2 linked regions of the Caenorhabditis elegans genome follow. The protein of the gene in region 2 purifies or fractionates together with the protein of the main gene of each other region. This does not show direct contact. Each region holds a gene or a part of one and is shown on either strand. Other genes may lie near its edges. The genes, in order: C01G10.7 and cht-3.

What was found.
Region 1: the proteins of cht-3 (region 2) and C01G10.7 fractionate together in Caenorhabditis elegans (co-fractionation; one large-scale study listed by BioGRID). This does not show direct contact.

The regions. Positions count from the first base shown.
Region 1 is NC_003283.11:15,084,012-15,087,530, reverse strand, and holds C01G10.7 (Citramalyl-CoA lyase, mitochondrial), read right to left. Parts: upstream 1,785-3,519; 5' UTR 1,781-1,784; coding exon 1,574-1,780; intron 1,528-1,573; coding exon 1,423-1,527; intron 1,367-1,422; coding exon 704-1,366; 3' UTR 613-703; downstream 1-612. Other genes in the region: C01G10.15 (FIP (Fungus-Induced Protein) Related), read left to right, coding at 235-297, 341-580; ahsa-1 (Activator of Hsp90 ATPase AHSA1-like N-terminal domain-containing protein), read left to right, coding at 2,158-2,237, 2,287-2,356, 2,405-3,151, 3,202-3,333; C01G10.9 (Methylthioribose-1-phosphate isomerase), read right to left, coding at 3,490-3,519.
Region 2 is NC_003282.8:7,001,565-7,009,773, reverse strand, and holds cht-3 (Chitinase-like protein C25A8.4), read right to left. Parts: upstream 6,152-8,209; 5' UTR 6,150-6,151; coding exon 6,042-6,149; intron 5,924-6,041; coding exon 5,646-5,923; intron 5,581-5,645; coding exon 5,370-5,580; intron 5,324-5,369; coding exon 5,229-5,323; intron 4,851-5,228; coding exon 4,583-4,850; intron 4,537-4,582; coding exon 4,180-4,536; intron 4,130-4,179; coding exon 3,831-4,129; intron 3,785-3,830; coding exon 3,407-3,784; intron 3,120-3,406; coding exon 2,848-3,119; intron 2,769-2,847; coding exon 2,641-2,768; intron 2,599-2,640; coding exon 2,508-2,598; intron 2,182-2,507; coding exon 2,078-2,181; intron 2,033-2,077; coding exon 1,944-2,032; intron 1,894-1,943; coding exon 1,500-1,893; intron 1,016-1,499; exon of another isoform or gene 995-1,015; intron 675-994; coding exon 543-674; 3' UTR 506-542; downstream 1-505. UniProt on the Caenorhabditis elegans protein: Putative chitinase.

The sequences.
Region 1 (3,519 bases), on a different chromosome or scaffold from region 2:
CTCCTTGTTACCTCTCTCCTCTGGTCGAAAAGAAGCCGAAAAAGAGCAAAGTTAAGGATTAAAAGGAATGTGTAGTCTTTTGAGAGTTGGTAAACTGTTAGCCCTTCTCTTGAAAGAGAGAGAGATCAAAAGGGAGCCACGGAGGTGGAGCTTGATGTTGAGTAGGGTAAAAGTGTATAAAAGATTCGAGTAAAGAGGGGAAAACATAAACTTCGCTTTGATCTCTCCTAGAAAATGAGATTCCTTACACTGATCGCCACTCTTCTCGTGCTTTTCTCCACTGCCAACGCTTATTATGTAAGTTCCTATTGATTATCTGATTCCCATTTTTTTGTTTCAGCTCTACTATTACTACCCGAACAACGGTTACAACAACAATAACAATAACGGATACACGACTTATTACTACTACCCGAATAATAATAATAATAACAATAATGGTCAAACTTATTACTATTACGATAACAATGGATACAATAATGGTTGCTCCGGCTGCAGTAACAATAATGGATACACTTACTACTACCCGAGCAACAGCAATGGATACACTACTTATTACTTGACTTATGGAAAGAAGTGATTTGTCTGAATTTGAACAAATAAAGAAATTTTAAAATTACTCGTTTTTATTATATTACACTGGCAACTAGAGCTATATTTAAAAATGTACATAAAAAGTTTTACAACATTTAGAATTTAGAATTTAATTCTGAACTCTCTCCACGAGCTGAATAATATTCAATGCCTGCAGCAGAAGTGGTCGATCGATCATTTGTCCTCTAAACTGGAAAGCTCCTTTTCCTAATGCCTCGTGCTCACTGTAAGCGTGGACCAGCTCCTGAGCCCATTCGATTCGATCCTTCGGAGGCAGAAATTGCTCCTGGACCACAGACACTTGACTTGGATGAATGACTTGTTTTCCAGTGAAACCCCACTGCCACCCTTCTGCAGACTGACGACGGAGACCGTCAAGATCCTTGATATCTATGTAGACACTGTCGATTGCTTGAAGTTGGAATGCTTTACAGCAAGTCACAAATTTCTGTCGAGCGAATAGGGTTTCAGTGCCGTGAGAGCTTCGTGTAGCTCCGATATCTGCACAGAAATCGTCTGATCCAAAGACAACTGCATCTAGCTTGAAGAATCCGGCTTGTTTATGAAGATTTAGAGTTGATGAGACTATTCGTGGCATATCCAGAAGAGCTCGTGCAGATTCGATCCAGATAACAAGCCGAGTGTTCGTGTTTGTGATCCGTTCATCTCCGTAGTGTTCACGGAAGATGTTGTAGATGGTGACAAGGTCTTCAGGGCAGTCTACTTTCGGAATCATAAATGCTTGTGGCAACTTTTCAGCTTTCGATACTGCCTGAAATTAAAAAATTCGTGAGGATAAAGTTTGAAAAATTCAAAAATAAATCTTACAATGATATCATCTTCGAGAAGACCACTGCTTACAGAATTGACACGTAGACCAAGCTCCTGGCATGCCAATGTGTGATATGGCAGTTTATCAAGAGCCGCCGCAGCCTGAAAACTCAAATTGTAGACAAATTTCCAATTACTTTTCACGTACTCGAACTCTAGCATCAGCTTTAGCCGTCAGAGCAACGCCATCTTCTAGCTCCAAAACTACTGAATCCGCTTGCATCATTGGAACTTTATCCAGCATTTTTTGATTGCTGGCTGGAACGTATAGAAGTGCACGTCTTGGAACATACTTTGCTGCGTCCCGAACTCCGGCAAACTGTGAGATGTGCCTAATTATCGTTTTAGGAAGCATTTTTCTGAAATTGAAAAAATTAATTTATTTTAAAAAAATGTGTAACGTAAAATCTGAAAAAAAAAAACAAAAATAAATAACCAATTACGTGCGTAAATCCACACAAAAATTGCAATGCAAGCTCGCCCTATTGATAAGCGGTCGTGGCCTGCTGGCCTAGTTTCTTCCATTTTTCATGAATTTTCTCGAAATTAATTGAGTTTCTCCTGTTTTCAACGAAATTTCAAAGATTTCTTGTTTTGATTTCAACGTTAAATATTTATTTTCAAGTTTTAAATTGAAATTCCATTGTTTTAAGTACAAAACGACTTAATCTGGCTTGATGTTCACCTTAAAAATCTCGATAAACTGACTTAAATTAATTTCAGGGAATTTAAATGGCCAAGTGGGGAGAAGGAGATCCACGCTGGATTGTTGAAGAACGAGCCGATGCAACAAACGTAAACAATTGGCATTGGTGGGTCTCGATTGAAGTCATAGCTTTGAGCTGAATAAGTATGTTTTAGGTCGGAGAAGAATGCAACCCCGTGGTCTTTGAACCGACTCCGTGAACTTCTCACCGGATTTTCGTCCGAGGTATAATTAATAGTTGAACAAGATCGTATTAAGAGTATTCGTTTTCAGGATGGCCCAATTGTCGTGACAATCGATGAGATCAAAAAGATCGACGGAGAAGCAACGGCAAACAACCGGAAGGCTAAGCTCATCTTCCTTTTTGAATGGGTTATCGAAGGAACATTCATTGCTCGTGTTTCTGGCAGTGAAGACGAATATAAAGGAACTTTCGATATCCCAAACTTGAGTGATGAGAACGATGCATCCGAAGTGGATGTGAATTCGTCATTGAGTGGAAATGGCCCAATGGCTCATCAAATCCGCCAAGTTCTTAACAAATCGTTCATTGCAAAGATTCAAGATGTTATGGGAATCTATATCCGTGAATTGAAGGAAGAATTCAGCAAGGGTCTCATTCTGCCAACTGATAAAGTGAAGCCACAAGTCGTTACTACTGGAAAGACTTCAGTCGTTGACAAACGTCAGTTCCAAAACACTGTTGTCGCGGAAAAGGACGCTTCCACTTCTGGAAATGAAGTGTTCTCCACCAAAGAGGTTTCAACTTCCGATACCTACAAGGCCACACCGGATAGAGTTTTCGAGGCGCTCACAGAGACTCAATTCGTTCGTGGATGGACAAACAATTCGATCGGAGAGTGGAATTTCAAGGAAGGAGGATCATTTGCATTGTTCGGGGAAAACGTGACTGGAACATTCGAGAAGATTGAGCCGAACAAGGAGATTGTGAAGAAATGGCGACTGAAAAAGTATCCAAACAATCATCATGCAACCATCCATTTCCAGTTGAAAGATACTGTAAGTTTTAGAACAAACGAGGATAAACCTTCTATTATAATAAATTCTAGGGATCTGGAACGGATATCAAAATCATCGCTAAAGATGTTCCAACTCATCTCGCTGAAGAAACTCAACAAGGACTCGATCGTTACTACCTTTCAAGCATTGGTCGTACTTTCGGATTCAGCCAGCGAATGTGAAAAAATGAAAAATTGCAAATCTCCTGTTTTTGATGTTCTCCGATCTTCTAAACCGCTTTCTCAATTTATTTATTTTATATCAATCTGTGTTTGTGTTCTAAATTTAGTGATAATATTTTCATAAATTCAACAGATTCTGTTCAAAAACAAACAAAATTATTTAGGAATCTGCTGCTCGAGCATTTC
Region 2 (8,209 bases):
TTTTTGTATTTTGATTTACTCGACGTGTGAATTTTAAATTTTGGAAAAAAGGAGGGGGGCACGTTCACGACAATAAAATGGTTTTTTCTCACAAATTATAATTTTGTTATGGCTTCCCTCTACCATTCACTTCTAATGAAAGAAAAATCTCTTTATATTATATTTTTTGATTTTGTTAAAGCCTTTAACAAAGTTTCACACAGTCTCTTAGGAAAACTTGCCAAGTTCGGTCTTGACTAGCTTGTTTCTGGTTCAAGGAATTCCTCGATCACAGAATATTCACCGTCAAAATCAACAAATTTGTTAATTTGTCCAAGTTAAATGAACTTCCTCTAGCACCAACTAAGTCTACATTATTATCACTGGGAACTTTGAACAAAAACCATTCATATTTTGTAAATGGTGTCCCAATTCCCCCTTCCCCGCTTTTTCCCTTTTTTTTCGTAAAAAAAAATTTGGTCGTGTGGGAGAGTTGAACTCATCCATTATCGATATCAAACGAAATAAAATAATTATTTATCAAAATTGTGAAGTTTCAGAAATTAACGACACTTATGGGAACTATAAACAGATTTCAGAATTGGGAATGATCCACGCCCACAGATTCCAGTATAGTCATCTCCATTTACATTCAATGCAATACCGCCGAGCTGTTCACGTTGGATGTAACCAATCTGAAAATTTGAATACTTGAATAAAAAATCCTAGAAATTTGATAGAATTTCCAGAATTTCTAGAAAAATTATTATATGTACTGTATTTGTAGAGATTTCAGCTATAATATAATGTGGCTTTTGTTAAACTTTTAATAATACAACATGACAGAATATCATAATGGAACCTTTCAAAAGATTTTAGACTTACGATTAGCAAATTTTTCCGTCAAATTGTTGGAAAATTATCAGATTTTCAAAAACAATCACATTTTGAGAAATTTTGAAAAAAATTACTGTTTCAAAAAGTTTACAAAAAATTTTTGAAAATTTTTGATTATTGTACATCCATTATTCCAAATTTTGGAAGTTTATCTTATTAAATTTTGTCGGTAAAGGCACATTAAAAGCCGATAGGTAACCAAAAATCATCAAAATTGGTTACCTATCGGCTTCAAATGTACTGTAATAAACGAAATTAAATGATATAGACTACCAAAATATGCAATAAAGAACAATAATTCAAAAAAAGGGCAACTTCGGACCGCGATATGGAAAAGTGGGTAAAAACGAGATTTTACCTAATAGCAGTGTAACTTTTTCAAATTTTGAACTGCCACAAAAAATTTTTGATATTATTTTTTGAGAAGTTTCATTACGAAATTTGTTCTTTTGAGCCCATGTTGAGTCTATTCAAAATCGTCCGAACCGTTAGTCCCCCTTTAAACAAAACAGTAATTTATTCTACTTTCGTGAAAATGTGAAACTTTATTTTTTTAAGTGGGGTCTCGCCAGATCTCAAAATCAGTCATCACGGGAGCTATAAATGCCAAAAAAGAAACTTACTTTGTATCTAAAATCTTCAATCATTGGCATGTTGATAGTTCCATTTTCATGTTTGGTCATTCCTGTCAATGTTTCATAATCATGTTCGTAGACAGCTCTATTCCCAGCAGTTACACAATTAACTCCTTGTGTCATTTTCTTCTTCTCCCCCACTTTCTTTCCAGTCTGCCAACCAAATGGCGAGAGTTCCAAAACTAGCTTATCCGGTTTCAGTCCCACATTCTTCCAAATATTCACAAATTTCTCAGTTGACGGGAACTCAGGCTTTGTGTGATTGAAGAAGAATGGAAGATCAACGGAATGTTTATCAGTCATTCTTAATGCAATGTGAGACAGACGATTCAATAGAGATACACTGTAGTACGTTGACGGCTTTTGTGTGTAATGGGAAAATCTGAAATAATGGGATATATAGCTTTTTAAAAACCTCTATGAAAAGGTTGCCTTGCTGAAAGTGTCCTGTTACACCCATTGGAAGCCTTGCCGCTTTCAAACTTCTGTGCCAATTTTTTGACGAATGTGTTGAAGTAAATCTGAATAGATTCATAGGTAATTTATTCTTAAACCTAATAAATTACATGGTTTCCTCTGCGAATCACTTTTTCACAATCCAATTGTACTCCAGAAAATTTGTACTTTTCCATAATATTCATCACGTTGCCAATTGCAAATGTCATGTTGTCTACAATATGGAAAAATTGGTTATGGGCTTAATTTCGAAGTTAACAAAAATCAAATGCTTTTCAATAAAAATCATGTACGAGTTAACTTTTGGATTTTCAGACACCCAACCGCATCAAGATTTTTCAGATTTTGTTTCATTTTCAAAAACTTCAGAATCCTCGGCCACCTTAAAATCTCTCAAAGTCGTAATAGGTTTGCAAAAAATAAAAAAAATCGAATATTGGAAGTATGCACTGAAAAAGCTTTCAGGAATATGTTTAAGAGCTTTTCTTCCAGGTAACATGATCTTAATTTGTAATTTACAAATTGTAAAATGAAACTCACCACCAAGAATTGAATTCAAATATTTCTCAGAATCACCGCATGATAGTGAAAGCACCATTCCACATTTAACCATTTTTGACCTCAATGATGTCTAAAACTCATTATAGACTACAAGGCAGGTGCGAAAACTTACCAAATTCTTAACAACTTGTTCTTGTTGAACATCATTGAAATTCACATTTCCACCTAAAGTGAGTGTTGCCTGCTCAACGACAACTTCCGTGCAACGCTCGTATGGGACAATGTCCGTTTTGAAAACAGCTGAAAAATATTAAATTTTTCAAAAATAAAATTTTCTGTTTCAAATTTCACACATCAGAAAATCCAAAAAAAAGCTTACGAGTGCTCCTCTTCAATTCAAAATTGCAGCTAACCACGAAATCGTGTTGTTCACACTTTTTGAAGTCATGCTGTTTCAGGCAAGTCTGACAAACTTGAGCACGAGAAAGAGCATTTAAAATGGGGAATGCAGTACGGTTATCACAAACTGCACTCGGATCGTCCTGGTGCATGTTGTGAAGAGCAAGTCCTCCAACACCTTCCATTGATGCCCATACTGCTTTGATGTGAGCACTACGAGTATTCTCATATGCTACCATTTGATCGTATCGTCTGAAGTTATTGCATTTTGTGATAATTCACATTTTGGTCCTGGTAGTAACTTGAACCACTGGAAATTGACTTGCTAAATCATTTTCCGTATTTATACTTAAATATAAATTTAAAAATATTATTTTGTTAAATTGAGATAGAAATACGAAACTAATTTCCAGTTTTTCTCATGTCATTAAATTGGCTTAAACTTTTTCGCTTTGTACACTGGGGAAGTTTATTTGAAATAATTTAGAATAAAATTCTCAAAGGGCTCAGTTCACCATAAATCCCAAAATATTACTTACCTCAAATATGGTACTTCAGCTCCATCAACCCAATGAGTGACACCAGTTCCAGACTTCAGGCTTTCACAGATCTCCTGCTGACTATGAATATCTCCTTTTTTCGATCTCAACATTGACACAAAAGCTGATTGTCCAAATGGAGTTGCAGCTGAGCTTCTCACATCAGCAAGTGATTGCATGGATAAAGTGGATGCACTCAGAGACAATACAAGTTTTGAAGGGAGTACACGTTTTTCGACCCAGTGAGAGAGCAACGATTCCCAACTCATTTTTTGATTAGTCATTGATGAAGTGGCACGAAGAGGTGAAGGATGTCCTGTGAATGGAAGAGAATCCGAGTGAAGACGATGAGAGTGAAGGACAATTAGTGATGCAGTTCTAAAATTTTTGAATTAAAATAAATATTATATTAAAGTAAACCAACTTGTTCAAATGCTCATAATCATAAAAGTCCGAATAAGCGCTCTGTTGTGAAGTTGCCACAACGATCTCCACCATCTTTGCTGTGTCCGCTGCGACGATATCATTGATAAATGATTTCAAATTCTTCTTATCAAAATCGCTGACCATTGGTTGAGAAGTCCACGAAATCTCAAGCCCATCTGCGTTTGTTGAATTGATTGCTTTAACAAGACCTTCAGCAAGTTCTTTTCTATGAAAATCGTTTCCAAGGAGGAATTGCCATATTGTTGAGGCTTGTTTTGATCCGACAGAAAGAATAAGCTGAAATAGTTTTCCTTTGAAATCTGAAAACGGTTTCAAAGAGTTCTTACCCTCGGTGCCACTTCAACTATTTTGCTTCTCCAATCATCAATTTTCTTCACCAGATCTTCGGCTTTATCCTCTTCAATCATTTTGTCGGAGAGATCAAGGGCGAAGTATGGAACAACAATATGACTACAGTAGTCAGATTTCAGATTATCAATTGGGAATGTTTCCTCAACCTCCTCCGGATCCAAATAGCAGAGTCTTGTACATTTGGCTGGATTCGCAGGAATAGTATTACGAATTAGTTCCATGACAAGACGATGAGCTGGCAACGGATCTGTACCACAGTCTCCACGTGGATCATCGAAGAGGGCGTGGCTAATACCAATTCCAGCAAACTTTTGACCCAATATCCATTTCATCTGGAATTCAATAGGTTTCATGAGCTAAAGCATAAGTTGCAACGACCTTTTCTCCCATAGCCTTAATTGTTGGTAGATTAACACTCATCCACGTCTGACGGTACACGGTAATTTCATTCATAGTCTGCCAATCATAAATGACAGCTCCTCTAGCTCTACAAGCATCTTGATAAGAAACTCGTTTTCCATTATTCTCAGCATATTGTCCATGAGAGATTTTTAATGGATCTTGAGTCTCTTTGATTTCAAATTTCCATCCTCCAGCAGTCAGTCCAACTACGATACGTGAAGGGAGAATTCCTTCTTTTGACAACCTTAAATTTTTATTGTTACGACAATAGGTGTTTTATACACAAAACGAGTAAAAACCTTCGTTATTAAAAATGTTTTAGAATTTTAAACATTTTTTGAAAATTTTTTGCAGAATTTTGTAACTTTCTTTCAACATTTTGAAAGCATCGGATGGTAAAAAAAATAAATGAAAAGATAATAATAACATAAGAAACAGTAAAATTAAAAAAAAAACATTTTCCAAAATTATGAATTGCAAAAAATGAGGAAGTGGCTATGTTTGACAATAACTTAAACACAAATCAAAGTGAAAAAGTTTTACTGTGATATTTGGAATTTTTCAAAAGACAGACTTTGAAAATTCCGTATTGGATCTAATTCACCTATATATTTTGACTTACTCTTCGACAGTTCCTTGAATTGTTTCCTCAAACGGAATTGATCCATTATAGAAAAGTGGATTTATGTGTGTGACTCTGGCAAGTTCCTCGTTTGACTAAAAATAACTCCAGTCAACCATTTTTTAAACTGAAAATACTTACTGGCAATTCTCCCATATCCAAATAGATATACTCAACGAGATCATTGATTTCTTGAAGTCGTCTTAATGCATCAAATGCAAAAACTCTTCTTCCTGTGACTCCAAATGTTAACGACATCTTTTTGTCTTTTGAAATCGTTTCAAGAAAACTCGTTGAGGCTCGATACTCAAGGTGAATGCCGTTGAAAGTTACAAATAAACCATCGAATCTTCTGGAAAATAAATTTTAGTTTTGATAAAGCTGTGATGACCAATTTCCCAAAATTCTCAAACTCACTTGCTCTTCACATGAGATCGGAGCCCGTTTGCAACCTTCACCGATGTAGCCGCGTCTTCAAACGGTTTTGTTCTAACAACTCCCATCAAGAGTTTGGCATTTGGATGATATTTTCTCAATCTCATGAAAGTTCGAATATTGTCAATATCATATCCAGACTCAACATCGGATACACTGTACTGTGGATATCCAGTGTCTCGATCAATTGGAATACTTCCATACACTAAATGGGTGCACGTTGTGATGTTTTGAAGAAGATTTGGGGAGAGACGAGTTTTCTGCAATTTGGAGCCTTTTACAATTATCAAAACTATTAAACCAATATTTAGTAAAAAATATTTTTTAATTGAAACTCTGATTGACATTGCTTGTTTGATAACATTTATGGCTGCTTACCGGTGGAGGATTGACAAAACAATAATGAACAGGAGCATCTTCATCACTTATCTCACAGTATATGCCTACTACAAGTATTGACAGCCAAATGAGGGTTTTTATACCCATCTCTAAAAAGAAGAAAGATTATAAAAACACAATAAGAAGGTGAAAAACTCTGAGGAAAAATGACAGAAGCATGCTGATTCTATCTCTTTTATATACGATTTTTCGTGCCCAGATTCAACCAGAAAAAAGAGCTGACCTGCAGATAAAAAAAGCGATTCGGGAATGATAAAGTGGGCGGAAGATCCAAAAGCCTCGCATACCACATGTTATTGGTTTTTAGGTGATTGATTTGAAATTTCGTCGCTGAAACCGAGATTTGACTGGTTGTTGGCTCTCTGGGAAACAATTGCATGATGTAAGAAAATGTTTTATTTTTAAATAGAGATACGGATGCTTGTAGAAAGTTTTGTAGTTTTTTTAAATTTAAAGTTTGGTATCCATAAACTTCACGTTAAATCAGAATTAGAGAATAAATTCCAAATCAATTGACATATTTCCAACTTCTCAAGGTTTTTCGAGCCTGCAGTTGAAGAAAAACTGTCTTTGTTTTGAAATTTTAAAACATTTTAGCCTTCAAAGGTTAGAAATAATTGCTCCATTTTGGGTGCAACGGTAAATTTGATCACCTCACACCCCTGACAGGTACATTTCCACAAGATATCAAGGAATTTTACAGTTACGAAATTGTCTTTCACTTTTTTGTCAAAACCATTTCTAACTCTCCCTCGGTTTTCAATAAGATCTCAATGTTTCATAACCACCCACTTTTTCCCTTAACCTTCCGTTTTCAATTTTGATCTCCCTGGGGACCAATATTTCAGTATTCCGTATGTTGACAAACCCTTTTCCCTTCTTTTCTCCTGACAAGAAACACTTTTGTCCTCGTCCTTCTTGTAGTTGTCGCCGGCGTTTTTACTTTTTCTCGGGTGGGGATAGTGTCCCTAGACAGAAAATAATTCGTCATTTTTGCCGCCTCACAAGTTAGTTTTCTAACTGTCACACAAATCCTACAATATTTCATTTATTTGGGATATTGTTTTGAATAAGGCGACAAAGCAAAAAGATCCATTGGGAGTTTAACCTGATTTATAAAAGACAGTCGCCAAAAATTATTCGAAAGTTTTGATCTCAAGATGGGTAGATAAATTTTTGAAGTCCTACTGGGAGGCACCGCGGTGGTTTTGAAAATTTCAGAAGTTGTATCGACAAAAGCGGCACAGAGCATTTTTTAAAATAAAACTTTCCGTGATATTATCATAATTCTCGGAAATCTGAATGAGTGTTTTCATAAATATGAGCACTTTTTCGTTTCAGCAGAACTAAATTTTCATGTATTTCTCAATATCTCATATGATTTCATTTCTTTTCTTAATGTGACATGACATTACTGTCATCACCCAAACGAGTTATTTATGACGAGTTTGCAACATCTGCAGTTCTCACATAAATGAGTAAGGAATAGAGGGAAGAAACGGCTAATATGGGTTTTGAGGTTAAACATGTTGCCTTACAATCAATGATTTTTCTTCCGTTAATTTCAAGTATCAATTCACAATATGAATGTTTGTTTCAATATTGTTTTTTCTTGCACTTTTTTGCTCAACTTTGCTTTGTCAAATTTCACTTATTTTTGCCTGTTTCAACAAATCTTCAATTACGAATAAAAATACAAAGTTGTTTCGTTTTTAAAAAAGTTTTTTCGTTTCCTATTTCAACATTCTATGATACTGCTACAATTAGAAAAAACCTAGAAAAATTCCTAGTCACGAATAAGTAATGGCATAAGGGGATTTGCTCCCAAAGACTGGATTCTCTGCTGTCAGTCGGAAGTAACAAGGCTCCATGAACCAGAGCCAGCTCCGTGAGCCAACTACGTCAACCAGAGTACAGTAATAAGGCTCCATGATCCCCCAGCCAACTTTTCGAGCCAGCTCTTTTTTCAATTTTATTCGACGCAAATTCGAAAACAAGTGAGCAACTTTGTATACTTAATTTTGAATACACATAACCGATCCGGAAGTATCTCTAAAAAAAGATAGTATCGTGAAAATCATCTTTGACTGTTCGGATTTTTTCGAATTTAAAGCTTTATTGCATTCTACACTTCTCTTCAAAAAGTT